2 linked regions of the Cricetulus griseus genome follow. The protein of the gene in region 2 interacts with the protein of the main gene of each other region in a pairwise test. Links are inferred from orthologs where the notes say so. Each region holds a gene or a part of one and is shown on either strand. Other genes may lie near its edges. The genes, in order: Tpd52 and Mal2.

Evidence for each region.
Region 1: the proteins of Mal2 (region 2) and Tpd52 interact in a two-hybrid assay, tested with the Homo sapiens proteins (2 studies listed by BioGRID and IntAct). The link is inferred for Cricetulus griseus from reciprocal best matches to the Homo sapiens genes MAL2 and TPD52.

The regions. Positions count from the first base shown.
Region 1 is NC_048595.1:138,882,152-138,896,958, reverse strand, and holds part of Tpd52 (tumor protein D52), read right to left. Parts: intron 5,565-14,807; coding exon 5,443-5,564; intron 4,014-5,442; coding exon 3,865-4,013; intron 1,325-3,864; coding exon 1,223-1,324; intron 1-1,222.
Region 2 is NC_048603.1:791,909-807,194, reverse strand, and holds the start of Mal2 (protein MAL2), read left to right. Parts: upstream 1-6,616; coding exon 6,617-6,748; intron 6,749-15,286. UniProt on the Homo sapiens protein: Member of the machinery of polarized transport. Required for the indirect transcytotic route at the step of the egress of the transcytosing cargo from perinuclear endosomes in order for it to travel to the apical surface via a raft-dependent pathway.

The sequences.
Region 1 (14,807 bases), on a different chromosome or scaffold from region 2:
GAAGCTACTGTGACTGCAGGAGAACCACACGGTGGACACACACACATCTGCAAGGCATCAACATCTCATCTCAAACACACATCTCACACAGCTGCTAGCCAGCAGCAGGCGTTCAGCTCTCCTTACCTAAAGGAATGTGAAAAGGCTTGCAGTCTGTAAGAAGCCAGAGGAAGCATTAAAACAGACAGGAAGTTCTGACCAATCCATCACAGTCACATAACCCACTTGTATAAAGTCGAGTGTGTTCCATAGCCCCTAAAACACTAAAGAGTCAGTCAGCATCCAAAGGAGTGAGAGCATCTGGCAAGTGCTCCAGACACGGTTGTCGGAGGGTTCAGAAATCTATCCTTAAGATATTATGCTTAGAACAACAGTGCTCTCAAATATGATGGATGAGGAAATGGATTCTAATACACAGCATAAAATATTGATTGACCAGATCAATCCAACTAACAAAATTCTGGTTGTAAAACCTATCGTTCCCACACATAAAACACACAAAGTCATGCAATCTAGGCTTAGAAAAAGACCAACAGAAAGTGTGCACACCAACAGAAGTACAGCCCATGTAAGCCATGTTGTCCATGTTCAGCACTATTCTAATCGTGGTGGTAGATGGAAGCACAAATGCACCATGAAGTGATCTTTGCAAAATGACAAGAAAAAAATCTGAAAACTAAATCTCAAATACAAATGCACAGTTTTAAAAAAGAAAGTCAGAAGTCAAGACCTGGGCCTGATTGTGAATATATGTAAAGCTCTTGGGTTAGTACAAACCAGTGCACACATAAGTACCTTGGAACCACATTATGACATACAAATGTCACACACAAACAGGGAAGCCCTCAGGCCAAGCAAGCGTGCAATTCACTTGTACTCATCCCTAGAAAGACACCAGGCTCTGCCCACCATCACACATTTGTAAATACCAGAGACATGCTTACACTGCAGGACTGAGAAAGGCTGAGATGTAAAAGTTTGCAACCAGAATTTTTCAACAGCCCTTAAAGGGACTCAACAAGATGCTCATTTGGAGGTTAGAATACTAGGCCTAGAAGAATTCAGGCAACAACTCCAAGCTTTGGTGTGAAGGAGAACACTTCCTTACTCTAACAGAAGGGAACATGACAGCACCCTGACCCACAGGCAGGAACCAACAATGATCACAGCACCAGTTCAGTTTGCCAACTGCTGGGTGAGCAAGGGAAAAATGTATACATACTTTACATCTTCCAGCTTTTTGGTGATGACTGAACCAACGGATAAAAATGCAGCTGAAGCCTTCTGTCCAGCCTGAGATAAGGTTTCAGACGTCTTCTTATATCTACAGATAAACAAGGGGGGAAATGTCAGCTAGGCTTTTCTATAAATTCTAGTGCAGTGTCATCACCTGTTGAAAAACTCAAGTTTAGAACAGTTTTAAGAACTTCTAATGTTTTCCATCAGGGCAGCAATAATCCCTCCACCATGATCTTCTACAGTGCCCTGGACAGGGGCTTAGAAAGAAATGAACCAAGTAGTTAGGGTGGGGCTCACAAAGTCGTGTCCCCTCCCAAAAGAAAGATGCACATGTATTCAAAGTCTACAAGGCCAGGCCCTGGGCAGGTAACTCAGTCAACAAAGTGCTTGCCTTCTAAGGATCTGAGTCTGGGCCACAAACCCATGTAAGAAAAGTAGTATGGTAGTTCTGGTGTGTAGTCCAAGTGCTGAAGAAGTAGACAAAAGGGTCTGGCCAGCTGACCTAGCCTTCTTAATGAGTTCCAGAATAGTGAGAGACCCTGCCTCAAAAAAATAAAAAATAATAAAATTTAAATTTTTTAAAAAAATGGCTGGCACCTGAGAAACAACAGTGAAGTTGCTTTAACCCCCACACTTAGACACACATACACACCAAGATTCTACAAGGCAAAAAATACTGAACTTTGTGATTATAGACAAAAAATATTGCAGGATAGAGCCAAATTATCTTGAGATATTTTCATCTATTTGAAAGAAGTTCCCCTGTATAGTTCATGTAAATTGTAGAATCCAAATAAATTTAATAGGCATACAAAAAAGGTTTTTTTAGTTTGCTGGAGCTACCACATAAGAACTTGTCTGACTTTCATATAAAAGATACCAATACACAAAATTATTATAGTGTGTGTGGTGGTTTGAATGAAAATAGCCCCCCAAAGGGGGGCACCACTAGGAGGTGTGGCTTTGTTGGAGTAGTTGTGGTCTTGTTGGAGGAAGTGTGTCACTGTGGAGGCAGGCTTTGAGGTCTTATATACTCAAGCCACACCCCGTGTCTCAGTTCACTTCTTGTTGCCTGCCAGATGTAGAACTCTCAGCTCCTTCTCCAGCACCATGTCTGCCTGCAGAGGGCCATGAAATAATGGACTGAACCTCTGAAACTGTAAGACATCCAATTAAATGTTTTCCTTTGCAAGAGTTGCCATGGTCACGGTGTCTCTTCCCTGCAATAGAAGCCCTAACTAAGACATTACATTTGCTGTAACATAAAAATAGAAATGATACTCCTCTTTGTAACTATCAACCAAATGAAAACATGGAATCTACCAAAAGGGTCAAGCTTCCGCACTGCAGAAATTAATGGTGGGTATTTTTTTTTCTTACAACATCAAGATCAAATACTAGTAACAAACATGGTTTATGGTTAGTATAGTCAAAGATTAGTTCCTTACATGTTTTCCTCTGGCAACTAATATGGGAAAAAAAAATCAAACAAAAGAGTTGTGTATTGGTCTAGTGATGTAGATCAGTGGTAGAGCATTGCCCAGATGAGCAAGGCCACAGGTTCAATTCCAAGCACAGGGAGGGAGAGGGAGGAAGACACAGTCAGGGTCCGCTCAGACACTGTCAAGTGAGGAATGGATGGCCTCACGGCAACTGTTGTCAGTGGCTCCTAATCTTGGTAACTCACAAGCTAAAATCAAACACAAAAGGTAGATCTACTGCTAGAAGCCTATTCCTCCCACACCAGGAATAAAAGCTGCACCTGCATGGTAATAATGCTGTATCATAATCTGTGTGATCACAAAACCAGAATTCTAAGGAATTGGCCTCTGATATTAGCATCCATGAGAGACTATGATGGGAAAAATCTTAGGCTATTAGAGCAAAGTAAAAAATGACCAGCTATACAGATGGACAAACCTGAGTTCAAATCCTGATTCCACCACTTTGAGTGATTTGTAACCTCCAAATGTCACTTGTCTGAGCCTATTCCTTATTGGGGGTTATCTTATCACCTAATCTACTCGGTTATTCTGAGAACTAAATATCACTGTGTGCATACTGGAAAATCCAATATCCAGTAGTCCCCTCCCTAAACTGATGGCAGTATGTTCTAAGGTCACTAGAGGATGCCAATAATTGTAGCTTACAATGAACCCTATCTATAACTCATCTTCTCTTAAATAGCCACTAAATAAATAAGGATTGGGTGATATATACAAGGGATACAATGGAAAAGAGGATGAGTCAGGTTCAAAGCTATACAAAAGTTAGTCATGTTACACAGAATGCCATGCAATTTAAAAAGTCATGAGTCTTATGTCTAGCATTTTCCATTTAATATTAAATATTATCTGATTGTGAGGAATTAAAACCTTGGGAAGACAAAAAAAAAAAAAACAGGAAGGGAGGAATACCACCCAACAGTTTTGAAACTTGAATATGATTCCCTTAACCTGTACATGAGTGTTTTGCTCTCTATTCTTTAGACTGTTCAGAAAAGGCTGTGTGGTTCAAAGAAAAGTGGTGGAAACATCCTCACCCCCTCCTCTCCTTCTCCCCAAAGAAAAGGTGCAAAAGCATCCTTCACATTGTCATGAAATGTGTACAATCAAGGGAACATACGCAGAGGTTGCTGTCACATCTTGCCACCCCTTGGCGATGTTCTGCTTGAATTCCTGAAGTGAATTGATCCCAAGTTTCCGCTTAATCTCTGCGAGATGTTTCTCTTTTGCTGCCAACACTTGAGACAGAGTCTGGATTTCTTCTTCCACCTATGAAGAACAGGGTTGAGGAGAAAATACAGCAAAAGCTGCACTGTAGTTATTGAACATCAACGCAAGCCATGCTCAGATGCTATCATTACTTTCAGGAAGGTGGTATGTTTGTTTGATCGTTCAAGACAAGAATCTCACTATGCATTGTCGGCTGGCTGGCACTCTCTAAATAGACCAGGTTGGCCTCAAATTCACAGAGATCTTGCCAGGTGGTGGTGGCACATGTCTTTAATCCTAGCACTTGGGAGGCAAAGGCAGGTGGATCTCTGAGTTCCAGGCTAGCCTGGTCTACATAAGGAGTTCCGGGACAGCCAGGGCTACATGGAGAAATCCTGTCTCAAAACAAACAAACAAACAAACAAAGAAAAAAATTCTGCAGAGATCCACCTGCTTCTATCTCTCAAGTGCTAGTAGTATTAAAGGTGTGCACGATCATGCATGGCTACACTTAATTTTTTTTATTAACTTTTATCTGTGTATTAAAAACAACATTGTTTAGTAAGCAGGGTACACCGTGCTTTCTCTGGCAGAGCCATTCTCTATGTTGTCAGTTATCCTGCTCAGTTATCTCAGAAGCTTTGGGGCTTCAACCTTTTACAGGAGTAATACTCAAGTCATTCTAACATCCACTGTACTGAAGTCACATGTTATATGTGAAATATCCAGAAAACAGTTAAATCCACAGAGGGGGGAAAAAAAAACAGCTGAGAGGTGGAGGCTAAGTGGCTCCTCAGAGAATACAAGGGGCGGGGCTCCTTGGAACAGGGGAAAATAACTTCAGAACTTGAAAGTGTTGACAGTTACAAGTCACAAAATGTGCTAAATGTCGAGAACTGTACACTGAAACAGACCATTTTAAGAACTTTATAGGCCAGGCAGTGGTGGCACACACCTTAAATCCCAGGACTCAGGAGGCAGGAGGCAGGAGGCAGGGGGCAGGAGGCAGAGGCAGGCAGATCTCTGAGTCTGAGGTCAGCCTAGTCTACAGAGCAAGTTCCAGTACAGCCAGAGCTGCACAGAGAAACCCTGTCATAACGAAACAAAACAAAACAAAAAACAGCAACAACAGAATTTTATAAAAGGAAGCTATAGAAAGAGGGAGCTGGGACTCTGTCTGGAAGTTGGGCTGAAGTCTGAAGCAAAGAAAAAGGAGAGGGAGGAAGCTGGCCTATATCCACAATGCAACAGCAAGGATGAGTGGTATGCACTTGCTTCTAGGGTCTGACGTTGTACCTCTCCCCCACTTCCCACTGCATCTGACTCCCAGATCCACCTGAAGAACAACTAGAGTCACTCTCTCCTCTGCCCTGTGGAGACTCTAGGCTGCACAAGCTCCTTGAGCCTTTTACCGTACACCATTACCAGTGGCTTTGGAAACCACAAGGCTGAACACTGAAGGCAAAGGTCAAGGAAGAATGGCCCTCACCTTGGCAAGTTCCTGTCTCAGCTCATTTTGCTCCTCCTCTGACAGGTTTCCCGGGGTGCTGAGCATGGCGGCAGCATCCTCTCCTTCCTCGGCCACTGGCTCTGTCTTCAGCAGACCTGGGGCTTAAGGAAAAAAAAAAAAAAACAAAAAAACATCATGTCAAATGTGAAAGCTAAGCTAAATCCTCCTAGAGCTGCTCCACTGTCCCAACTAGAACAAAGTCTTTGAGGTTACAGCCATATACTTTCTTTCTGTATGTTGACGTGATATGGCTATCTTGGGAAAAAACGAAAGAGAACTCTGGGATTGCCAATAAAAACCACCGAATTAGAATGCCAAAACATGTACTGAGAAATGTGCCCATCTCTCAGCTTCCATCTCCTACTCTCCATCTCCGTCTCCAAACAATTAAGACAGAGCAGAAGAATGGGGTCCCACCATCATCTACCTTTATACTAAACACAAGCATGCCTACAATCCCAGCACTTAGGAGGAAACAGGACAGTCGCTAGTCAAGGCCATCTTCAGCTAAGACCAAGTTTAAGCCCAGCCTGGGCAACAGGAGATCTTGTCTCAACAAAACAAAAACCTATCTTTAAAATGCAGCACAGATAAGTCAGCAGAAGGTAGATGAAGGATTTTAAGCGCTGCACACCAGCCCACAGGAGAGACTGTGTGTTCCTTAGCTCCCTTTGCAGATAATCCATACAGGAGCAAATCAAATGCCCTAATGAAAGTCGATTCTTCCTCCTTCCAGGTGGTAGCCAAGGCAGGAAACTCGGTGCAGCTTTTTCTAACCCTGTACTCACTGACATGAGCTTTAAGCACCCAGTGTCATGGGGTAGGGCAGTATACTGCCTTCGATCCCAGACCTCAGGAGGCTGAGACAAGGGGGCTGGGAGTTCCAAGCCAGCCTGGGTTCTACAGTCTCCAGGACAAACAGCTCTGTTTCTATGTGGAGACCTAACCAACAACAACACAGAGACTTCCAAACCCACTATGTTCCTTCCCTGAAACAGAGCCCCCTGTTAAGAAGACCAAATTCCTAGAGAGAGGCAACCATCTTCAGTGCTCACCTTTCCCTGCCCATGCCCCATCTAAAGGCCAGCTCAGAGAAAACATAAGAGGAGAAAATCAAAGAAGCCACTCAAAACTGCCGTTGTATTTGATTAAGGTTTGAATGTCAAATAGCTCACATAAGCCTGCTTTTACATTCCAGCCATAGGCCCTACCTGGTGGCTCTGTCTTTGAAAGGTTGTGGAACCCTTAGGAGATGGGGCCTCAAGAGAGGAGGTGTGTCAGCAGGGCAGGCCCTGGGGTCCTAGAGCCCTGTCCTGCTTCCTGACTTCCCGACTATGGATACAGTATGACCCGTCACCTCAAGCTCCTAACACCAAGTCCAAGGTGCATCCTCTCCACTAGTGAGCTAAAATAAGCCCTTCTCTTCTCAAGCTGCTTTTCTCAGGCATTTTCTCACAAGAAGACAAACTAATACATAATTCAATCTAATTTGTAAAATCAAAGGGAATTAAAAAAAAATTTTTTTTGAGGCAAGGTCTCAATATATAGCTCTGGCTGTCCTGGAGCTCACTATGCAAACCAGATTGGTCTCAAACTCACAAAGACCCACTTGCCTCTGCCTCCAGAGTGCTGGGATTAAGGTGTACACCACCACGACACCCAGCCCAAAACAGTAAACTTGAGACTAGAAAGGTTCCAGAGTTGCTCTGCATGGGTAATTCAGCCACTGAACTTGCCTTGTTTAACTTTTGGTACTGTTATCATAGGTTGTATTTGCATTGATTCTGACCTTTTCAAAACGTTGTATTGACAGATGATTTGATTAGTGAGTTTTCTGGTGCCCTCTCTCTTAAACTGTACACCTGACTCACCCCAGCCACAGTATACCCACCCATTCCCAGTGTCACAGATTCTGATGCACTGAGGACTGGGGAAGGCTTCCTCCTCTTCCTGTAAGTAAATGCCATTCCCCTCATCCTGTCCCGGTGCCCCTCCTAGCATGACGCCAGCCAGCAGATGAAGGGCACATGGACAGGCAGGAAGAAAAAATGCACACTGCTGAACACGTAGTCAGTACCACAATACATGTAAGAAAAGCTCATGCAGCAATGAGATCCATGTGTAGCTACATGCACATTACAGAGGCACTTGACACGGGGTTTGCTGTATACTAACTTTTAAAGGTAATTAACAATTATAAGCCGGTTATAAGCCGGGCATTGGTGGAGCTTGCCTTTAATCCCAGCCTTCGGGAGGCAGAGGCGGTCAAATCTCTGTGAGTTCGAGACCAGCCTGGTCTTGAAGAGCTAGTTCCAGGACAGCCTCCAAAGCCACAGAGAAACCCTGTCTTGGGGGGGGGGTGGACAATTATAATAATCATTAGCATGGCAGTACCAAAACAGTGGCCCACACAAAGAACTATTAAAGGAGCAAAAGTAATACAAATAAGCCTGTTCAGAAACTACACTTTGGACCGACAAGCAGAATTCAAGTAGGTTTCTGGAAGCAGAGATTGCCCTTGATACACTCAAGGGGTGGAAAAGCTCACTGAGCAATAGCTTTGGTACCTTAAGAAAAGCCAAAGAGCAAGGTATGTGGCAGGGGAGTCCCAGCATGAGGTCCGAAAAGACCACTGGGTAAAGCTTGCAGGTGAAGCCTGGATTGCCTTGGATACGCCAAGATATTGGCGATATCAGAAATGCGGGATACTTGCCAAGGAGAGCTGTGTACAGGGTGTGGAGCCAGCCCGAAATCAAGAAGTGTGCTGTAGTCAACAAAGCTGGAAGGGGAGAGCCATCTAATAACCTTCCAACATCAGGCATAGCGTTGTGTGACTTAGATCGTCCTGCTGGGTTTGGATCTTGCTTTGGTCCAGTGTTTCCTCACTACGGTCCCCTTTCCCTCTTTTGGAACGGTAATGTATATTCAGTCCCATTGTATGTTCAAAGTATTTGATCTGCTTTTTGATTTTGATTTTATGGGGGTTAGAGTTGAGAGTTTGCCTTCAGTCCTTAGAAGAGACTGAACTTTGAACTTTTAAACAGTGTTGAGACTGTGATAGACTACGGGGACTTTTGAAGTTGGACTAAATGCATTTTACATTGTGTTATGGCTTCCATGGGGGCAGGAAGTGGAATGTGGTAGTTTGAATAAAGATGCCCACCCCCCATAGGCTCATAGGCCTGAATGTTTGGTCCCCCATTGGTTGGAACTGTTTGGAAAAGATTAGGAAGTGTGGCCTTGTTGAAGGAAGTTGAAGTGTGTCACTGGGGTGAGCTTTCAGGTTTCAAAAGCCCACACCAGGCCCAGTATCTGTGTTTTTCTGCCTGCTGCCTGTGGATCAGGATGTAAAGCTCTCAGATACTGCTCTAGCAACATGCCTGTCTGCTTCTGGACACAGTGGTTATGGACTAAGCCTCTGAAACTGTAAGGAAACCCCCAATTAAACATTTTCTTTTATGAGTTGCCTTGGTCATGATGTCTCTTCGCAGCAACAGGATAGTATCCGAGATGAGTCCTCTCTAAGACATCTTGGAAGGATTGTCCAAGTACTATTTCTATAGTAGACATCTGATCTCCAGTTTTAAATCTTTCCATACTTCAAGTCAGCATCCCACCATGGGGGCAGCTCCTGTATTTTGTAATGGCACCCACACTCCAACACCAGCCCAATCACTGTGAAGCAGGCCGCTACGATGCCATGTATTGTTGGGAACAGAACCTGTGTGTGCTCCTGTATGACAAAAGGAGCAAGGGACTGAGGATAGAGACCAAGCATGTGAGCCACGATCAGCCAGTGCAACATAAAACTAAAATAGTAGTCTATAGTCTATAACGTTTCGCTCAGGACAGTTATTGATAACACAGGACTCAAAGAGTATGTGCAGAATTCAAGTACTAAACTTTGTCTCCTGGAGAAAAAGCTCTTCCATGCTTTTAAATAAACATTATTTTGCAAGTCTAAATAGGCAAGGAGATAAACACAGTATCAAACTGCTAATGTATGGGGCAATCTTCAATTCCAAAAAAGAACCTAAGAGGATGCTGGCACAGGGTGGGAATATTTAATATGAAAAACATTACAATTTTTCAGTTTTGGATTTTCAAAACAGGCATTTTCAATCAGTAAAGTCTACACACATATTCCCTAATCCAAACAATGACAAAAATAAAAAATATTAAGTACATGTAGCCCAAAAATTTCAGATAAGGTATCTTAGGGTTTTTATTGCTGTGAAGAGACAACACGACCATGGCAACTTTCATAAAGAAAACATTTGATTGAGGAGGCTTGCTTACAGTTTCAGAGGTTCAGTCCATTATCATCAGATAATGTGGTACTGGCTACATCTTGACCACAAGGCAACAGGAAGTTGACTGATTATATCACATGGAAGGATGCTTGAGCAAAAGAGACCTCAAAGCCCACCCCCACAGTGACATACTTCCTCCAACAAGGTTACGCCTCCTAATAGTACTACTCTCTTTGGGGGCTATTTTCTTTCAAACCACCACATAAAGGATATTCAAATATTTTAACTTTATTTATTTATGTATGAGTGCTCATTTACATGTATGCCTCCATGCCAGAAGAGGACATCAGATCCCATTATAGAGGGTTGTGAACTGCCATGTGGTTGCTGGGAAATGAACTAAGGATCCCTGGAAGCGCAGCCGGTGCTCTTAACCGCTGAGCCATCTCTCCAGCTCTGATATTCAAATATTTTATTAGGTTATCTACAAAAATAAACATATCAGAAAAAAAAGACTTTGGCAATGCCCATACTTGGCTTCAGGAACATTGAGATGACCTGGTTATCAATTAAGTATCTAGCAAAGTCAGCCAGCAATAATTCAGTCTGCTTTTCTCACATTAACCTGCAGGGGGCAGAAAATCATGGGCATTAAAATTTAAAGGTGCAGGTTTTTAAAATACTCATCTGGGAATAAAAACATAAAGTTACTGAGTCTACCACAAGATCCAGCAATTCTACTCCTAGGCATATACCCAAAAGAAGCACATTCATATAACAAGGACATATGTTCAACCATGTTCATAGCAGCATTATTTGTAATAGTCAGAAACTGGAAGCAGCCTAGATGCCCCTCAACCGAAGAATGGATACAGAAAATGTGGTACATTTACACAATGGAGTACTACTCAGCAGAAAAAAACAATGGAATCTTGAAATTTGCAGGAAAATGGATGGAACACAAAGAAACCATTCTGAGCGAGGTAACCCAATCACAAAAAGACAAAAATGGTATGTACTCACTCATATGTAGACCTGCTTTATGATACACGGTAGTGACCATGCTTTATCAGAGCTGTTTTTAATGATGTTGCTCAGAATGGTTTCCTTCCAGATGATGACTGAGAAACTAATTTAAAAAAAAAAAATGGTGCCAAGTACCACAAGAGTAACAAAACTGTGCTGTCTTCTGGGATTTTGTTTTTTACTTTTTTGTTGTTGTTTGTTTGTTTGTTTGTTTGTTTGTTTTTGTTTGCTTTTTGTTTTTTATAAAAATGGAGTGTGCTGGATGTCTCTACAATTTTGTTCAAAGGACTACAGAACCTGGAAAAGCTGTTGCTGCTATTGATGCATAACATATTGCCATTATTGCTCTTTTTATGTAAATATAAATATATACATATATATATAAGCTAAAAAATAAAAAAAAACCTTAAGTACACACAATAAGGAAATATATGGGAACTTAATAGAACAGGTGTTTATACGAAGTAAGAATATTTTAATGTGATTTTGTGTAACTAATGATTTACATTAATGTCACAGAGGCACTGACTGACTGCTTTTATATCTAATTATTATGTTGCACACTGAACACATTTGTTTTTTTTTCATTTACTAACCTCATTATAAAATCAACCAGCTTATTTTCATGATGCAGATGCAGTAATGCAGTAATTCAACAGTCAGTTGTTTATTACATATTTGGTTGATGGCTTAAGCTTATTTTCATTATTAGATCAAATCTTAATGCTGGTATGTTTTAGAAATAAATCTTTTCTATATGTTTTTAATAAAAAAAAGTAAAAAAAAAGCCATAAAGTTATGACAGAAGAACCAAGTGGGAGATGCTCGAATCACAGGCAAACTACGAAGTCATCGCACATCTCTTGGAAAATTACTAACCACAGACACTCCACATGGGCTTCAATTTACATCCAAATCTGAGCTAAGAGGTCCAGAAACAGTCATTTACACACAGACATCTGTAACATGGAGATTGCTATCACCACTTACAGATGATGAGAGAGGCTTACAGAAGCTGAGCAGCCACCAGAATCACACATCGTTCAGGTGACACAGTTGAGGTTTTTGAAAACAGACAAAGGAGGTGCTCCAAGTCACAGACCTGGAAACAGAGGCAAGACCTGGACCACGTGCCGTGGCAATACATAAGACTATGAAACTGGAACAACCCAGAGACCAGAGACAAGGTCAAAAGCAATGCCACCTTATTTCTCCATCCCTGAACATTCATTTTGCTTTAATTAAATTTCTAGGTATTATCTTGTTTCCTATATGTTTGTAAATAGTATTTACTATGGAGAGAAAGTATAGCTTAGGGGCGAAAATATATCATTTTCACATTCAAATCATAAAAGATGAGAAAAGAGACTACTACAAACAATCCAATAAACACTTGTTCTTCAATTTTAATGCTCTTTCCTAGAATCCAATGGAAAGCTATTTTAAACAACAAAGGTGCAGAATATGACTAATGCCTACTGAAGTCTTTTATGCCAGCCACCATGAGGGGAAATTTGTCTTGACAGAAATTCTCTGCTTGACCAAATGTTAGTCAGGCCTCTAAATGTTCTCTCAGATCACCTATGTTCTTGTTTGTAGAAATCCAGTTTAAGCAAACAAACCTCCTAAGTCAGTTTAACCAGAGTCCCCATTCCTAATATCTGATGTCCCCATACCTAATCAGGCCCCTCAATGCCCCACCCCAGGTAATGTCTCATCTTCCTGGACTAAAGCCTTCATCAAGGCTCCCATGCTTGGTCCCATCAATGCACCTGATTGCTCCACTCTTCCTTGACACTTGCCAATGCCTTATTAGGGGTTGACCCCGGTCTCTACAACAATCCAAAACAGCAGTCACCATACCTACCCCAAAAGTACTTAGTAAAGTTCCCTCACCATGCTTTAACAAGAAATCTGATTTTTTAACCAGAATGTTTCTTCCCATTAGGAACATGTTCCATAGAAGCAAACAAACAAACAAAATTATCAACATCCAATGAGAAGAGTGATTTCTACCAGAAAACTGAGGTCCTCCGAGATTACATAATTCACCCAGAGTCAGAGACAAGACTAACCCTTGAGGGTCTTTCTGATTTGACACTCTGGTCTGCTCACATACAGCTTTCCTTAGAGAAATACCAACGAACAGGGCAGGACAGAGAACCAGGCTAATTCTTTCTTCACAGCCTTTCAAGTCTCTAGCTGGAAAAGTCAGCATCAGCAGGATTGAATAGAGGTGACCAGACATTGGGGATCACTTCCCCCTCAGTTACTGATAGTTAATTTTCTAACAAAGCAGATCATCCTTCCATCTTAAATACCAACCAGGGGATCCCTGGTATGCCTTATTAAGTGAGGGCATAGTGTGTGTGTGTGTGTGTGTGTGTGTGTGTGTGTGTGTGTGTGTGTGTGTGTGTGTGTGTGTGTGTGATCTAGAAGGTCTCTCCAGCAGAATGCTCAAGTAGCACCCCTGGTGTGCCTTATTAAGTGAGGGCATAGCAGTGTGTGTGTGTGTGTGTGTGTGTGTGTGTGTGTGTGTGTGTGTGATCTAGAAGGTCTCTCCAGCAGAATGCTCAAGTAGCACAGGCAGGAGAGAACCTGGAAGCTACATAGTGGGCCACAGCCACCTCAAGGCACAGATGACAGCTGAGCCATCACGAGAGAGAGGATAAAGCCGAGAGACCACATGGTGTCATTGTACACAGATTTGTGTGCATTGTCGTTAAGCTGGAGACCATGCAATTGCAAGGCTAGGTAATCTGGACACTGGACATCAGTGGCTTAGACCATGTCAGATCTTTTTACAGATCCCTCATTTAAACAAGGCACAACACAGACATTGTGTGGGAGAATACACAGAGCAGGTTTACAGTGTTCCTCAATGAAAGTGGTTCAGGCCAGACAAGACATGAGCGAGTGCTTTAGGAACACATCAACTTTCTTTAAAAAATATGTCCAAGAGAATTACAGTCATCAAACACAACTGAATAAATCTTCAATAAGCACAAAATCAAAGATCTAAGTGGCAAGAAAGCACTGATTTTTTATTTAAGTCAAAACATTTTACAGCCCTATAAAATACTTTTTAAAAAACATATTATGATCTGAAGTGTCTCAGACTCACTGGAATGCCTTGATGGTGAACTTGTGAGGGAGACAGGATTGGTTGGTTCTGGCATGGTAGGAAAGTGTGGAAGCAAGCATTAAGGTGTTGGGAGGAAGGGAAGGCAGGCTGCTTGCCGACAGGAGAAGAACAGAGAAGTCAGCCCTGACCACGGCTCCACTTCCGGGCTATAAGCCCTGGTATCACTTCCTTATCACTCAGACCTCAGGGTGCCTACATCAGAACAAATGTTAATATTTTATTTAACCTCATGTATTAGGCTAAAGGTTTAGTTAAAGCAGGTTTCTCTCTTTTCCCACTTACCCACCACACACTCCATTAATTTCAGTCAAGAACACTGTCTTACTTGATATAACCCATGCTGGCCTCAGACTCCTACGTCTCCTGCCTTAGCTTCCTGAGTGCTATCACTACAAGCTTGCACCACTAAGCCTGACTCTAGTCTTTCAATTTATAAGATTCTAGACTCTACAATCCAGTCACAAGTGAGTGTGGTATGGGTCATGAAGAGTATGGATAGGTTCAGCCTTGTGACCCAACCTGGATCTCCACCTGAACAGACCTCTACCCTTTAATTCTGACTAAGACTGCTTCCCATCAAGATTTCCTATGGTGAGTGACTATGACTAAAGCTTTAGCCATTTTCATACAATCCTACATCTGGAAAAGAATTCCAAAGTCAGGCATGGTGGTACACTCCTTTAGTCCCAGCACTTGGGAGGCAGAAGTCACTGCTGGAAAAACACAAGTTCCAGGCCACCTATGGATATACAGGAAGTCCCTGTCTCAACAAATAAATGAGTAAATAAATATAAAATAAATTTAGCCAGGTATGATGATACACTCTGTTAATCCCAGCAGTTAGGCAAGTGGATGTCTGTGAGCTCAAGGCCAACCTGGGCTACCTAGTGAGTTCTAGGCCGGTCAGGGCTACATAGTGA
Region 2 (15,286 bases):
AAAGGAGAGAGAGACAGATTAATAAAAAAGATTTGTGATATTGGGCTTCAGCAGATATTATCCAACTTAGACTTTGCCCTAGTACTGAGGCAAAACTCTGGGCATTCTACCCAGTACTCCATTCACTGGGAGTTTGCCCACAAGGGAAGGTGGAAACACAAACTATTCTTGGCCCTCTATGAACTTTTACTCCTCTGAAATGTTTCTGCCCTTGCTTTGGGGAAATATCTCACCTTTATGTGCTAATATAATTAATCTGCACTTCCCTGGAGACTTCAGGGACCTCTTTGGTGACTCCCAGTTTTGATCGATATTCAGCTTTATATTTTTCGTAGCCCATGAACTCTAGCCCTGTTATTCCATTAAATTCCAAGCTTCCATCACCTCAAGTCTAGGAGACTGCAGCTCTTTACCAAAAAGGATCCCCTCCTACACTCTGAAAATTCTTCAACATCAGAAAACCACAGGGCTGTCTGTCATCACTAGTTTCCTATCTCATCACAGTTCTGAAATAAGTGATGCATAAGTGATAAGCAAAGCCTAAAACCCATGATTTTTCTCTTGGAGTTTAGTTGCTTCTTGATACTCAGCATAGCAAATGTTGGGTCTCCTGTTCAGGGTAGGAATCAGACACTGCTGGCTTCTGTAATAAGTGAAATGTGGGAATACAAGAGGACATTTATACAGAAGAGATTTATATAGAAGACTGAGAGGAAAGTAGAAACTGGAAGGAAAAAAAGGAAAAGGGGGAAATTAAAGGATTCATTTCCAAAAGGAAATTTAAAGAGGGAAATGAAAACCTGAAAAGGACTTCAAATTTGCATATGAAAAGAAACTGGAAGAAAGACAGTAACAGCAAAGCTGCAGGGAGTTGTTTTAAAAGCAGAGGTCACTGGGTGGGCTGATAGTGCTTGAACTTCTGTTATGCAATGCGACCAAAGGTTAACAACTTCCTGTAATTAGACAGAGTGGTGAAGAGAAAGAAAGTGTGATTCTTCCACCTCTCCCCCAATCAGACCTCTTTTCAAACTCTCTCATTCCTGAGATTTAAATATTCTGAATGGAAGTGAGCAGTTCACTGTTTGTCTAATGAGCTTGCCCGCACCCCACTTTATGGTCGGACACACAGATCACCTTGACGCCTGATTCTCATTGTTTCCTGGTGCCACACTGAACTTTTGAAATTAATATCCCATTACACAACTCTAGTGAAATGTGGTGATATCTTGCTTGTACAGACAAAGCTTGTCTGAGGATCAGAGGGTAGAGCTTGCCACTAGACTAACCATAGAGATCCATGGGTCTGCAAGGACAGACAGGAAGTGAGATGGCTGGGCAGAGAGAGGATATAGGTGGGAGGAAATAAGAACTCCATCTCTTTTCCCATGGGAAGATAATGGTGTAAAGGTAGCTTTGGCTTGTTCCTTCTCTCTGATCTCTCAGCATTTTCCTCTACATCTGATTGCAGGTTTCTATTATTTTAACCCATTAGAACTCCATTTACAGTGAAGAGACAGTGAACAGCAAGGTAATGACTCTAAGAGTAAGCCTAACATGGGAACACAGAGGGACAAGTGTTATTCTTTTGTTTAAAAAGAAGAAAAGAGAAATGCTGAGACATGAGACATATTGACAAAAGTTTATTATAAGGCCTGGCAGAATGGGGAGACTTAGAGAAGAGGAACAGGGTAACGGCTGACCGCCATGGTCGGTCACCATACAGAGAAGAGAAGAAACAGAGTAGAAAAGAAGAGAAGCAGGAGAAGAGAATGAAAGCAGAGTTAGTTGGAGCTTTATAGGAAAGACTGCGCATGCGCGAGGTTCCACGCATGCCCAGAGCAGAGTCCTCATGGGTGACGTGGTGATGACATAGCACGTTTTCTTACACATGCCCTGACTTGTCAGGGGGCAGGGTCTGTCTCTTAAAGAGGTAGAGCCAATCACCTTTCAACAAGTCCTATGAAAACTTGGACAGGGGAAAGCTGCCAGAAAGTGCTGTGTTATGATATGCAACTTAGGGGGGACATTGGGGGAAGCCCCATTGTGGTGAGAGACAAACACTCCAGGCAGACAGAGCTTAAGTGGGAAGATATTTTGGGGGGAGGGAAGAGAGAAGGAAAGAAAAGGAAGGGGGGAGAGACAAGAGATAGAGAGAGAGAGAGAGAGAGAGAGAGAGAGAGAGAGAGAGAGAGAGAGACCTGCCTCCCTCTTCAGAGAAAGAGGGAGAGAGAGAGAAAGTAGGTAGAACTTGTCTCTTAAAGGGAACTTTTGTGGCTGGATACAGAGTGAGGGTACTGTTTGCCATGCGCACCAAGGGGCGGGGCCAAAGTGTGCCTAGATGCTAACATGCTGTCCCTATGACCCAAAGGGATCTTCTAGGAACGAGTTTTTAAAGTGTAGAAGTAAATATAAAATAAAGGATGTTCTATTAGAAGGAAGGATGTGTGAGAAGCTTGGGACCGGGCAGTTACTACAATTGCAAATGGGTCGGTGGAGCTGGCAAAACCCATCAGAAACCTTGTCACAGAAACTGCTGCATTTGCAATTGACCCAGAGAAAAGCGTGCGGTTCTAGAGCAGTTATATGTAGAGTATTGACTGTGGTCAGTTTTGTGTTTAGAAATCATGTTGATGGCAGTGTTCACCGTGAGTAGCAATGGTGTGCTGTGAGGTAGAAAGAAGCAGTGAAAACAAGGAGACTCTGGTGTGTCATAGGGAGTAAAACCCAGATCTGGTAGCTGATTAAAGCGATGGCATGAGAAGGAGCTACGAAGAGAAATACCCAGTTGTTTGTCCTGGGTAACAGGATAGACAGCAGCGTTCCCAACATTCTAGAAGTTCTAAAACTCCTTGCAAAATGAGTCAGGAAGATTTGAATGGTCTTGATTTGCTTTCATCCACTCAAAACTGTTTACAGGTTCTAGGCACAAAGACTAGACCAAGACAGAAGATGGAAGCTGTGGAATAATAACCGAGAGAAAGGGGGTAGGGTAGAGGAATTCATAAGGACCAACAAAGTCTGGCTACCACAAGTAGTCAATGGTTCCAATGCCCTTTTAGTAACCCTGGGAAGTGTAATGGTAACATCAGAGAGGGTGTATGGAGATGCTGAACTGAACACAGGCTGAACACATGGAACAATGATGCTGGAAGAGAAGAAAGGGGCAAGGTAAAGAGCAGTGTGTGGAACTGATGCAAGTGCTACTAAATCCCCCTCCTAAAGGCACAGGGGGAATAGAGAAGCCAGAAATGCCAGAATGGGCCAATCAGAAAATAAAGGCAGGATAAACAGCGGAAAACCTAGGAACTGGTAATGAGAAAGAGATGAATTGGAGGGTCTTTCACAAAATGTGGTGTTCAGGAATTCCCAGTGGGAAAATGGCCCCAGATATAATTGCTCTTTACAAAGACAGCAGAGATTTGGGGAGCTGAACTGGCACAAGTATCACCTGGGTGAACACTTCATGGAGCGGAGAAGAGCACCCGCTTAATTCCAGCTGTATGGGTGCCTGAGTATATGGTTTGAGGCCAGATTGAGCAATTTAAGCAAGACTCAGCCACATAATATTAAAAGAGTGCTGGCTAGTGGCTCTAATTCAGTGGAAATGTTACCTGCCTAGCATGGGCAAGAGCGCAGATTCAATGCCCAGAACATACAGCAAATGATAGCAAGAAAGAAAGAAAAGGAAGGAAGGAAGGAAAGAAAGAAAGAGGGAGAGGAAGAAAGAAAGAAAGAGGGAGAGGAAGAAAGAAAGAAGGTTTAACAGTCCAATAAGGGGAGTTCAGAGAATATCTTCAAAGTAGGATTGCTGGGGTCAGAGAAATGGATGAAAAGATGATACTATTAAGAAATTGGGGGTGGGAAGGGAAGAAGGGGAGGGGGGAGAAGAACAAGAGGACTGAGACAGGGGTGGAATAGAGGAGGGCTAGAAAGGAGATGCCTTGATAGGGGGAGACAGTACAGGTATGGAGAGAGGTCTGGCACAGGGGAAATGTTAGGGGATCCACTTTGATGACCCCAACTAAGAATCTAGGCAGTGGTGGAGAGGATGCCTCTGATGCCCTTCCCCTATCATGAGATTGGTGTCTACCTTGGTTACCATTCCTAGAGCCTTCATCCAGTAGCTGTTCGAAACAGATACAGGCACCCAGAGCTAAGCACTGAACCATTCCCCTGGAATCCAATTGTGCAGAGGGAGGAGGGATGAGCAAAGAATCCAAGACAGTGCTGCAGAAACAGTTGAGCTGACCTAGTGAGAACGTGGAAACCCTAGTTATAATGCTGTGGAAACAGCATTGGCTCGACCAAGCCCTCTGAATGTGGGTGCTAGCTAGGAGTCCAAGACAGTTTATGGGTTCTCTAACAGTGGAACCAGTCTTTAGCCCTAGAGCACAAATGGACTTTGGGAGCCCATTCCCTATGGAGGGATACTATTGCAGCCCAGATACAGCAAGGAGGGCCTAGGCCCTCCCCCAAATAATATGACAGACTTTGAAAGACCCTGGTAGAGGGCCTCGCTATCCCTGGGGAGGAGTTGGGGGATGGGTTGGGGGGTTGGTGGGGAACATGGATGGATGGGGGGATGGATATGTAAATATGAGTAGTAATTTAAGAATTAAAAAAAAGAAACTCGGGTCAATTTTATGGAGAAAGAACTGGGAGTGAGGGAAAAGGATGCTGGAAGTATTGTCATGATGAAGAGGAAACTGGTATAGATAATGACCATGAGAAGGGAGCCTATTCTAGAAAAGCATTCATTTTTGAGTAGATATGGTATAGAAGAGAGGTGCACAGCAGCCGCCTTCATTCTGCTCACCATACTGGAAAGGGAACAGCATGGCAAGGTAGGGGCTGGGAAACACGTAGTTGCAAGCTTTCTCTTTGTTAACAACTTTAAAGTAAACACATTTGAGGCTTTACATCATGAATGGGTCTGGAAATTTCAAGGTCATTTCAAGTTCACTCAACACGATATTTTGGATACCTTGTATGCCGTTACTGAGTATCTCCATAAGGTATTCTCTGATGTGGCCTCACATTTGAAGATCTTCTAAGTGCTTCCCAGGAGGAAATGAAAAGTCCTTGCCAATCAGGGTCTGGCTACAGAAAAGTTCATCGGTCAAACAAATCGATGCAGAAAGCACGAGGTTTCCTATGAGACAAACAGCACACACAAAATGCCAGGAAGTGGTGAGTAACAGGTATCACCTCCCTAGGTGACAGGAGGTACGTATAAAGGATTTCATCCACACCCTGCTTTGTGGCTTTTCCTCTGGTGCCACCACCACCACACCTATGAGTTTCGCTCATTAAAACAATAAAGACGTAGGGTAAAACCTGCTGACAGCCCAGGCAGGGAGCAACTCGCAGACTCAGTTTGGAGACTGTCTGATAGTGTGTGTGTGTGTGTGTGTGTGTGTGTGTGTGTGTGTGTGTGTGTGTGTGTGTGTGTGTGTCCTTGTTGCTTGACTGGGTCTCCCTAGGTATCCCTAGATGTCCTATTACCGGTTTTGCAGCCTTCTGGTTTCAAATTCAGGGCAATCCTCTGGCCTCATCCTATGAAACGCTGCTATTCCAGGCTTGTGCTGCCATGCCAGGGTTAGCTATTGTTTTTTCCACTGGATCTACTTGTGTGCTGATGTGAGTCATTTAACTTATCTTCAGATGACCTTTGAGAAATGCCCCTTCCTTTGTCCCACTTACAGACATTAACACTGAAACCAAGACTACAATGGGAACGCACGAGGTAAACTGAGGCAAGGGACTCATACATAGCATCCTTTTTTTTTTTTTTTTTTTTTTTTTTTTGGTCTGCTGAGTGTTAAAAGACAGTGTCAAAGAGTACATGTGTGAGGGCTAAATGAAAAGGGTCTGTGTGGAAACGTGATGCGGCTGACATCGTTTGTAGACAGAGCAATGATACAGATCTCGGGATTGGAAAAGTAGCTGCCGTCCTAAAAGCTACAGTTTACAGAGCGCTTCCTGGGCACTGAACTTTTCTGTCCCTCACTGGCGGATATCCTCATAGGGATTTCCCGGAACAGAGTAGGAAACCTCAAAGCAGCCCTCCGGGGACCTACGGCCAGCCATCGACTCCCAAGTGCCACACGACCCTGGTGACATCTTTGAAAATTCCATTACAGTCCCCTTTAAAACAGGCATCCCGCTTTCCAGGTGTGCCTGGCGACTGGCGTTTGCTTTCTGAGTCACAGTCTCTGTCTTCCTGCCCAACTGGGGACAGAGGGTGAGGCCCGGGTGAGAGTGGGGTGGGATGGAGAGGTGGGACCCGCGGGACATTTAGCGCAGGGGCAGCAGGTGATCGCGAGAGCCTGGGCGAGCTGGTGGCCCTGTAGCCGGAGCGCACCGCGCACCTGTACGGGTGACCCCTGCGGGCGCCGGGGCGGGGACGTGCTCACCTGCGCCCACGTGACGGGGCGGGGCTCTGTGTAGAGGGCCCTTGGCCACGCCCTCTCGGCGAGCGGCACGCCCGGACCCCGCGGACCGGATCGGCGGCGGCGGCGCGCGGCGGCGCGGCGGCGGCGGCAAGCCCGGGAGGGAGGCGGAGGCGGACGCGGGAGGCGGTGGCGGCTGTGCGCGGAGACGTAGCAGCGGCAGCATGTCGGCCGGCGGAGCGGCAGTCCCGCCGCCCCCGAACCCCGCTGTGTCCTTCCCGGCGCCCCGGGTCACCCTGCCCGTGGGCCCCGACATCCTGCGGACCTACTCGGGAGCTTTCGTCTGCCTGGAGATTGTGAGTAGGGTAGCAGCGTAGGCGACGATCGAGCCCCGGGGAGCAGGGACAGGCAAGGCAGCATCCTTGCCCCCAGCCCGGTCTGGTCCCCCCGGCGATCACCTTCTCCTGGAAGTGGCCTTTTCCTGCCCACGGTCTCGGGGTCCCCTCCACTCTGTGTCCGGGCCTTTTTGCTTGGCACCTGTTACGCGGCCACCTGCTCGCCGGCCTGGAATGGAAATGTCCCCTAGAGTGCGAGCAGGCAAAGGGCCCAAGATTAGGGACTTGGGCAGGAGAGGGGTGTTAGCGCTTGGAGGAGTCGCGGGGACTGGGCTTTGGACAGGGTCTACGCTTGCCTGGTGGAGGAACTGGCGCCCTCGGCCCCTCCTGTCGCTAACCTGCCATTTTGTTGGGTGGTGCAAAGGTGTACCGATGACTGGGTGGCCAGGAAGCTGGTAGGATGTGGAAAGCCGGGGCGGAAGGCGCCAGGGAAAAGGAGGAGCAGGAGGAGGCTGAAGCCTGGGTATGGTTTTCACCCCACTCACCCTTGCCATCGTCAGTGCCCTTTGGATTGGGGAAGAACGGGGCAGGGAGGACGGTGAGATTGTAGGTGCCGTTGGCAGTGTGTAATCAAGAGGCCGTGAGAACCAACCGTGGGGAAAAGTGGAAGACAGACGTGGGGCTGTCAGCTCCAACTCTCGCCTTTGCCCCTTGTCCATTTTCAGTTTACCTGAGAATTCCAAACCTCCTCGGAGCACCTCGCTTGTACCTAGGAAAGTTGAAGTCACAGGCCCGCCCTGCAACCTTGTGGAACTAGACACTTGAACTTGGGCAAGGAATGCTGTACAGTTGGGAGCTTTCGAAGCTCCTTGTGGACAAGGGGGATGTGTAAATATAAATTGGGCAACTGGGGTTGCATCATGCCCGGAGAATGTCAAATAGAAAGAAATGTTAGCAAGGCAGGGCCTTTCCTGCAGGCGGGTTTTGTTTGCTCCCTTTAGGGTTTTCATGTCACTCATCCTCCTGTGAGTTTGCATAACCTGGATCTGGGTCACTCTGGCTTCCCTTTTGTGCTGTGGAGCTGAAAACCGTGGGAGCCTTGGTTTTCTGCCCCACTATGCTTTGGTAGCCAAGCCACCTTAGGTTTAGCTCCGATTTGAATCGGAAAGCAGAGGCGGTGGCAGCTGGGATCAGACTGACTGTGAGTCTAGAAGACCCTGGTGTGGGTTCGGGTTTAAGCCCAGTACAGCGGCATAGGAATGAGACAGTGATGCTATATATATTAGTCTTGAGATAGGTGTGGTCTACCACTGAGCTCCTAACTTGCCAGCCCCTCGGTGTTGGCCCAAGCTATCCTTCCCTGTTACATATTTACCATATATTTGCCTAAGTTTAATACAAAGTTGATCTTGCAAAACCAAGCCTTTTAGCTCAGGCTGAAAACATTAACACCAAAATTTATCATTTTCAGGGGCCAGGACAAAGGATCAATGAGTAAAGGACTTGTTGCAAAATTGTGAGGACCTGTGTTCAAATCCCAAGAACGCTTGAAAAGCTGCCCTCCGTGGTAGAGTTGCTGCCTAACCTTTGGCTAGAACTTAGCTTCATCCTCAGCAGTAATATACATTGCATCTCAAATTTGATATGTTGGTTATACATTTCTAATAGTTATTCAAATATATTTATACAATTAACTTGTATGTATACATATACATGGCATATATGTATATATATACATATATATATGTATACACACATGTGTATATGGAAACATATGCATAGAAGTGTTGCCCACATGTTATCAAAACAAATGCTACTCAGGACCCACCTGACGGTGTGGCACATTTATGGAACACTAGTTCTGAAGGTGACTTATTGAACTCCTTCTAGCTCCATATCTCCTTTTCCTATCTACCACAGTAGTTAGTTCTTAACTCTGGCTGTATTTAATAACTTGGCAGCTTTGAAAAGTACTGTTGCCAGCCTGGACTAATTAAACCAGTGTCTCTAAGGGAGCACCCAGAGTCAGCTAATTTTTTTTAAAGTTCCCTGGAGATCCCAATACACAGAATAACTGCAACTGACTGATAGTGCCTTTGGACCAGGATCTGCAGAAAGGAGAACGTTTTTTTGTTCATTAGGATGGATAGGAGGATTAGATTCTGGAAGTGTGGGGAAGTATCCCACATACTTCCTGCTTTCTTAGTCTTCTTAGCCGCTCCTCTGGCAACTTACCTAACCCTGACACGGGTTAGACTCTTATCAAAGTAGAGGAGTCTCTTCCCAAAGCCATTTGGACTTGCACGTGTGTGTGTGTGTGTGTGTGTGTGTGTGTGTGTGTGTGTGTGTGTGTGTGTATCCTCGTGCCTGTGTGTTTAAGTGTATATGGAGGCCAGAGAACAACATTGAGTGTCATTCCTCAGGAACTGTCCACCTTTTCTTTTTTAATATTTTGCTTATTTATTGAGGGAACAGAGGGCACACCCATTCCACAACGCTTGTGCGGAGGTCAGGGGAGAACTTGCAGGAATCAGTTCTCTACTTCCACCATGCGGGTTCCAGGGGTCAGATTCAGATTCTCAGACTTGACATTAGGCACTGTTCCCACTGAGTCATCTCACTATCCTTTGGACTCTTTTGGGCATAGGGATCAGGATGAGCAAGATCTCTTACTGGCCTGTAACTTGCCAAGCAGAATAGGCTGGCTGGCCAGGGATCCGCTTGGCTCTGCCTGTATAGCACTGAGAGAACACATCACCCTCTGCAGCTTTTCTTTAGTATGTTCTGGGGGTTGAAGTTGGGACTTCAGGATTAAAATGCAAACACTTTACTGAGTAGGCTGCCTTTCTAGCCCCACGGTTTTATTTTTATGGCCAAACATCCTTCCAAGTTTAAGTCAACGGTATCTTTTACCTCCTTCCCCGAACCTCCTGTTACCTCTCCCCAAGGGGAGGATCAAAATGTACCAATGAAACCAGTGACCTCAGGGAAATGAGAGGCCACTTTGAGCCAAACCAGCAGTTCCTTCTTGGCCTCCATCCTTCTGGAATGCTTAGTGACACTGGATCATAAGATTAAGAAAGCAGCCTGCAGGTGACCTTGGTGGTCTTCTACCTACAAAGCCCACTCCAAGTCATTTACAGGCAAGAGCTAAGACATTCATCTGAAGCACATTCATCCCTAAGTTTCACAGTTGCCGTAGGATTTTTGATTCTAAGTCACAGACTCCGATGGCTCCTCTTCAGAAATTATTCTCCCAATAATTAAATGTGAGCATTTTCTAGGCACAGTCTCAAACACAAAGTGAACTCCAGCCTGGAACCAATTATTTTAGCTTCTGATGATGTTTCTGGATATCTCTAGACTCCTTTTTAATTTTTGACCTTCCATTGAGATCCATTTATGTCCAAGATTTCTTCCTTCGGTGTCATGTTGCTCTCTAAAGCTATGCGAACTGTGCTCAGTGAGGATGGTTTTATCTATCAGCAGGAGACTCAGCTAATGAGACTATGGTCTTGGAATTAAGTCTTCATACTAACTTTGCTCAAGGAATTTAATTCCAGTCTCTGGTACTGCACAGCACTCATAACTCTCTGTAAATACTGCCTGCCACTAGAACCTACTAAGGCAGTTTACAACACGTTTCATAATCGAGGACTCTTCCAACTTTCCAGGCCTTTGGTGTTAGCCCAAGCTATCCTTCCTTGATGCATATTTACCATGTATTTGTATAAATTTAATACAAAGTTGCTATTGTGAAACCAAGCCTTTTGGCTCATGCTGAAGACATTAACACCAAAATTTGTCATTTTCAGGGGCCAGGACAAAGGACTTGTTGCAAAATTGTGAGGAACTGTGTTCAAATCCCAAGAACTTGAAAAGCTGGCCTCTGTGGTAGTTTATGCTTGAAGTTGCTCCTGTGTGAGAGCCTTACCTAGGTGGCAGTGAACAACAAAACAGACCCTTTCTCAAACAGTGGAATTGCTGAGGTTAGACACTCAATGTTGTCCACACTAGTACAGTGCCACTTGGTCTCGTGAACAAAAAAATTACTATTTTTCCAGTCCTCTCAGTGCCTCTAACTACGTACTGTGTACGAAACTCTTTGCATGTCTCCTCACCTGAGAGCCCCTATAATCTGGTTAACAGGATATACCAAAGAAAAGATTACTTCTATTTGGGAAAGAAAAGCTGTCTTCATATGAAAGGTGAAATACAACTGAAGCATTTTCTGTCCAGCCTAGCTGTAATAATATCAGAGTGTATTTACTCCCAGACCACACAAGATATTTAGGGTCCTGTTCTCCATGAAATTATTTTATAAAATGTGTTAAGAAAGATCAAACACAATACCATTAAATGTGGAAAACAGTGACATTGATTTATTCAGTGAATCTCACAGCTTCAGTATTGAAGAAAACACATTCAAATTATTTGTTTAGATTTCTCTTTGTGAGAAATCTCTTTACACATTTTCCCAACTAACTATAGTGTTTTAGTGCCAGAATTACTTTCCTTTGTTTACTGTAATAACATATTAAAGAACACACTGCTTATTGGACCTTCTCTTTATGCCCTGGGAGTCTGATAACTAATATGTAGTGTTTGCCCTTAAAAGATGTTGTGTAGGCCAGGCACGTTTCCACAGCCAGGCAGCCCAGGTAGGTAGACCCCAAAGATGGTTGGTTGATGCAGTGAGTTCCAGGACAGCCAAAACATAGTTAAAGAGAACTTGTTTTTTTTTAAAAAAAAATAAAAGTGTAGCAGGATATAAAGGTCAAAAAGCATTTACAGTTTTACAAAATGCTGAGGTAGACTTATGAAAATACTATGAGAAAGGGAACATTTGGCTCCTGGAGAGCTAGGACAGGACACTTTGATGGGGTGGAGGTAACATTTGAGGGTTAGCCTAAAATGGTGACTGAGACAAAATCCAGGAAGAAAGGAAGCCATGGACAAAGCTCAGAGATTTCGAAAAAGAAAAACATATCAGGCCCTGCCATGCAATTTCTAGCAATCGTTAGCCTCTTGGTGTGACTGATGAGAAGGTGGGAAAAAGAAAAGGAAGATGTTGCTGGCAAAACTGAGGCTGTGGTTTGCTGGCAAATAGGTCAGGCTTTGAATATGTTCCCCCCACGGAGCACCTCAGGACAGGTTTAAATGTGGTCAGACTTGTGTCTTCAAAATCTTTAATGAAATTTGTTTGTCAAGCACGGAGATTAAAGTTAAAAGGCCAGGAAATCAATGAAGGAAGATTGGGTCTTACTATTAATATAATTCAGATAAGTTGTGATGAGACCCTGAAATAAAACCAAGGAACAAAAGGATTGAGAAAATAAAGGAGAAAGACCCGAGGCTTAGTGGGTCAGCTAACATGTGAACTTGGATGCTCTCACAGGTGATACTGAGTCTGAAGTATAAGATGTATCTGAGATGAGCTGAAAGGCTGATGGGGAGGGAATGCGTGGAGGCAATCCCACAGAGGACTCTGGAAGGTATTTCCAGTTATTTTCAACCGATGTCTGAGTGTAGCATGACTAACATGTCAATGTTCTGGTATATCGAGCTTTCTTTTCTTGGCCAGAAAATAGATTTTGATTACAAAGAGACACTGTTTCAGGAGGCCTAGCAACCAATGTGTTTGCCTCTCTAGATGGGTTTTTATCCTGTACATAATTTTTATCCCCCTCTGCCTAGGGAGTCAACAAGCCAAGCTCTAATCACGGGAAAATAGCCTTTACCTTTTTGTAAGGGGAAATTAGCCAGAGCTCATTGTTCAGACTCTGTGTTCCCTGACTCACAGCCCTGCAGGAAATATGAACTGAAAATGCAAAGACTTTGAACCAACCAACTTGCTACAGAGGGAAAGGTCAAGGGGACCAGATTTGGTTTATCCTGTGGTATAAAACTGTGCCTGCTTATGAGAGCTGTGGTCTCCACGTATGTATCTGCTGCCATTCGGCTGAATTAAAAAGGTCCTAAGATGATGAAAAACTGGTTATCTATATGACACACAGACAGAAGTCAGCAAATGCTATGCTATAAGCTATGGCTTATAAGACAGTATGTAAGAATATTCTAGAACAACTGGCTAGTGCAGAAAAAGCAGTTTGGGAGCAGAAATGCTTTATATCACTGCAAATACTAATATTTTTTTCCAGTCACACAGTTTGACCTGAATCCTCATTAGCCAGTTTTATAGAAGAGGGTTGAGTCTTCGAGAAGCAACCCTGTCTGGCAGTCTTTTGTATGAAAAATGTCAGATGGAAGACAGTCAAAAGAAAGAAGGAGGTAGTGGCCTGTCCAATTCTTGCCAGGACATTGGCATGCAGGCGTTTTGAATCTACATGGTAGGGAATTGATAAATACAACTGCAAAGAGTCAAGGACCTCGTTTCTCTCCTATACTGTTTGCTTTCTATTTTAGGGTTTGCATTACCTATTTAGAAGACTGAGATGGAAGTTTGAGTCAGATGAGGTGAAGGTATAATTTTGTAGCGCTGACAAATGTACATCAAATACAAAGCAGAAAATTAAATTTATTTTGTAATTAACAGACTGTGTTCACAGACCGAGCCTACATATGTCTCTTCTGCTGTTGCTTTTCAGAATTCATTCTTTCCCTAATTCAAACAAGGCAAATCTTGTTTACTTCAACCTGTAGATTAGTGTGGTGTAAAGCATGCAACTTGTACCAGGGTTAATCCAGGAGCAATCTCAGTGAATGTCAGGACAGTTAATGAGCAGAATGGCATGTTCCTAGGGGCTAGCCTGATCAAAAGGTATAGTGGCTGTTTCAGTGCTAATAGAGTAAATGGATAAATGGGGAACAAAGAGGATTGAGAATTGGTTTGCAAGATAGACCATGTTTCCATCACCTTCCTCCCCATCATCCAAAGATCTTGTAGTAGGTGGTGATTGCTGCTATCGTCACCCAAAAATTGAGGAGGACATGCTTCTACTTGGTAGTCTCCTTACCTGCTTTTGACATCCATTATGTATCAGGATATGGGCTGGACTTCAGACAACCATGTGTTCCTGGGATCTGAAGTTGCCCTTGCAGCACTCTAAAGCCCAGTGATTGGTCTCTGTTCCTCTGGAGCAGGACACAACTGAACACCTTAGGTAGACAGTGCCCCCTGGGTTCCCAGTGTTCAGAAACATTTAAGGGAATGTCACCAATTTTGACTTCACAGCCCAGTGAGAGATAGGCATGCGAATCTGTGATTTCAATCTAGACGTTGTAAATGGTTCAACGGATACATGCATCATTAACCACCTGAACGCTGAGGATGGCTTCCAGCCAGAGAGGTCTTTCTGGAAGATGTGGTACCATAGGTCAGCTATACAGCAGTTTGTGTATGCTAGGCAGTTGCATGGACAAGTGAGCCTAGTTCTTTGTAGACGACGAGACAGTGGACTGGAATGCAGAGAAAAGGAATTGGGAAAGGAGCATCCCTCCCAAAAGAAGGGGGAGCTTGAGGTGGGTGGGACCCAGAATCTCTAATATTGCTACCACCCAGAACAGCTACATCGTAAATGAACTTGAATTTTATGGTCTGTTTTGTCAAGGTGTCTACCAGCCAAAGGTTGTATTTCTTAACATAAGTTTGTTTCCAGTTTAAAAAACAAAACTAAAACCTTTCAGAATATAAGCCATATATAACATGGAGTTAATTACATATTCTGTCTTTATGTAGGTGATAAATTCTAGGTTTATTAACCATTTTTATAACATAATGTTGAATTCAGCACCCATTAAAACAGAAGCACTTAACAAGTAGGTGACGGGTTCAGATGTTTTGCATGGAACTGCCCTATGCTACCATCTTGTCAGTTTGACATAACTTGAGGCAATCATTTGGAAAGTTGATGGAAATCTCAGTCTAGAATGAACCATAAACTTTAAAGAGGCAGAAAATTATACGGATAAAAGCATACGCTCTGGAACCCAGTGCCAAGCCAAGTCCCATGTCTAACATTTGTTAACTGTGTGACTTTGGCAGTTACCAAGAGCTCTGCCCCTTAACTGACCTCCCTGCAAAAGGGGCCTCATAATATCTCTTGGGCTCTCTGAGGATTAAGTTGATAAAAATAAAATTCTTACAGCAGACTTGGCCATAAAGACCCAATACATGTTAACTAATATGTCCGTTATTGTATTACCTTCTACTTTATATTCATACTCGTGTAAGCCATGCTAGGAGACTGTTATTTCCCAACCCCAAAGCTTACTGGTTGTTTGGTTTCCCTGCAGAAGAAAGATGGCATGGCCAGTTGTGTTGATAACAAGACAACACAGAAAATTCTAAATAATTAAGTCATTTTCTCTAAGGGGTTTTAGGTCTGGTAATTTGTCTCTTAAAATTGGTGTTCTCGTCTATATTCTCCTTTCCAACATTAATGTACATCAGTCATCATAGATATTAGCCAGTTTACTTAAGACAATAGTATGGTATACAAAACTGGAGGTATCAAGTAGGTTAGAAAGTTATTAGTTAAAAATTCAGAGTGTGTGCTTTAAAACAAAATAAAAAGCACCTTGTCAGGAAATCTTTTG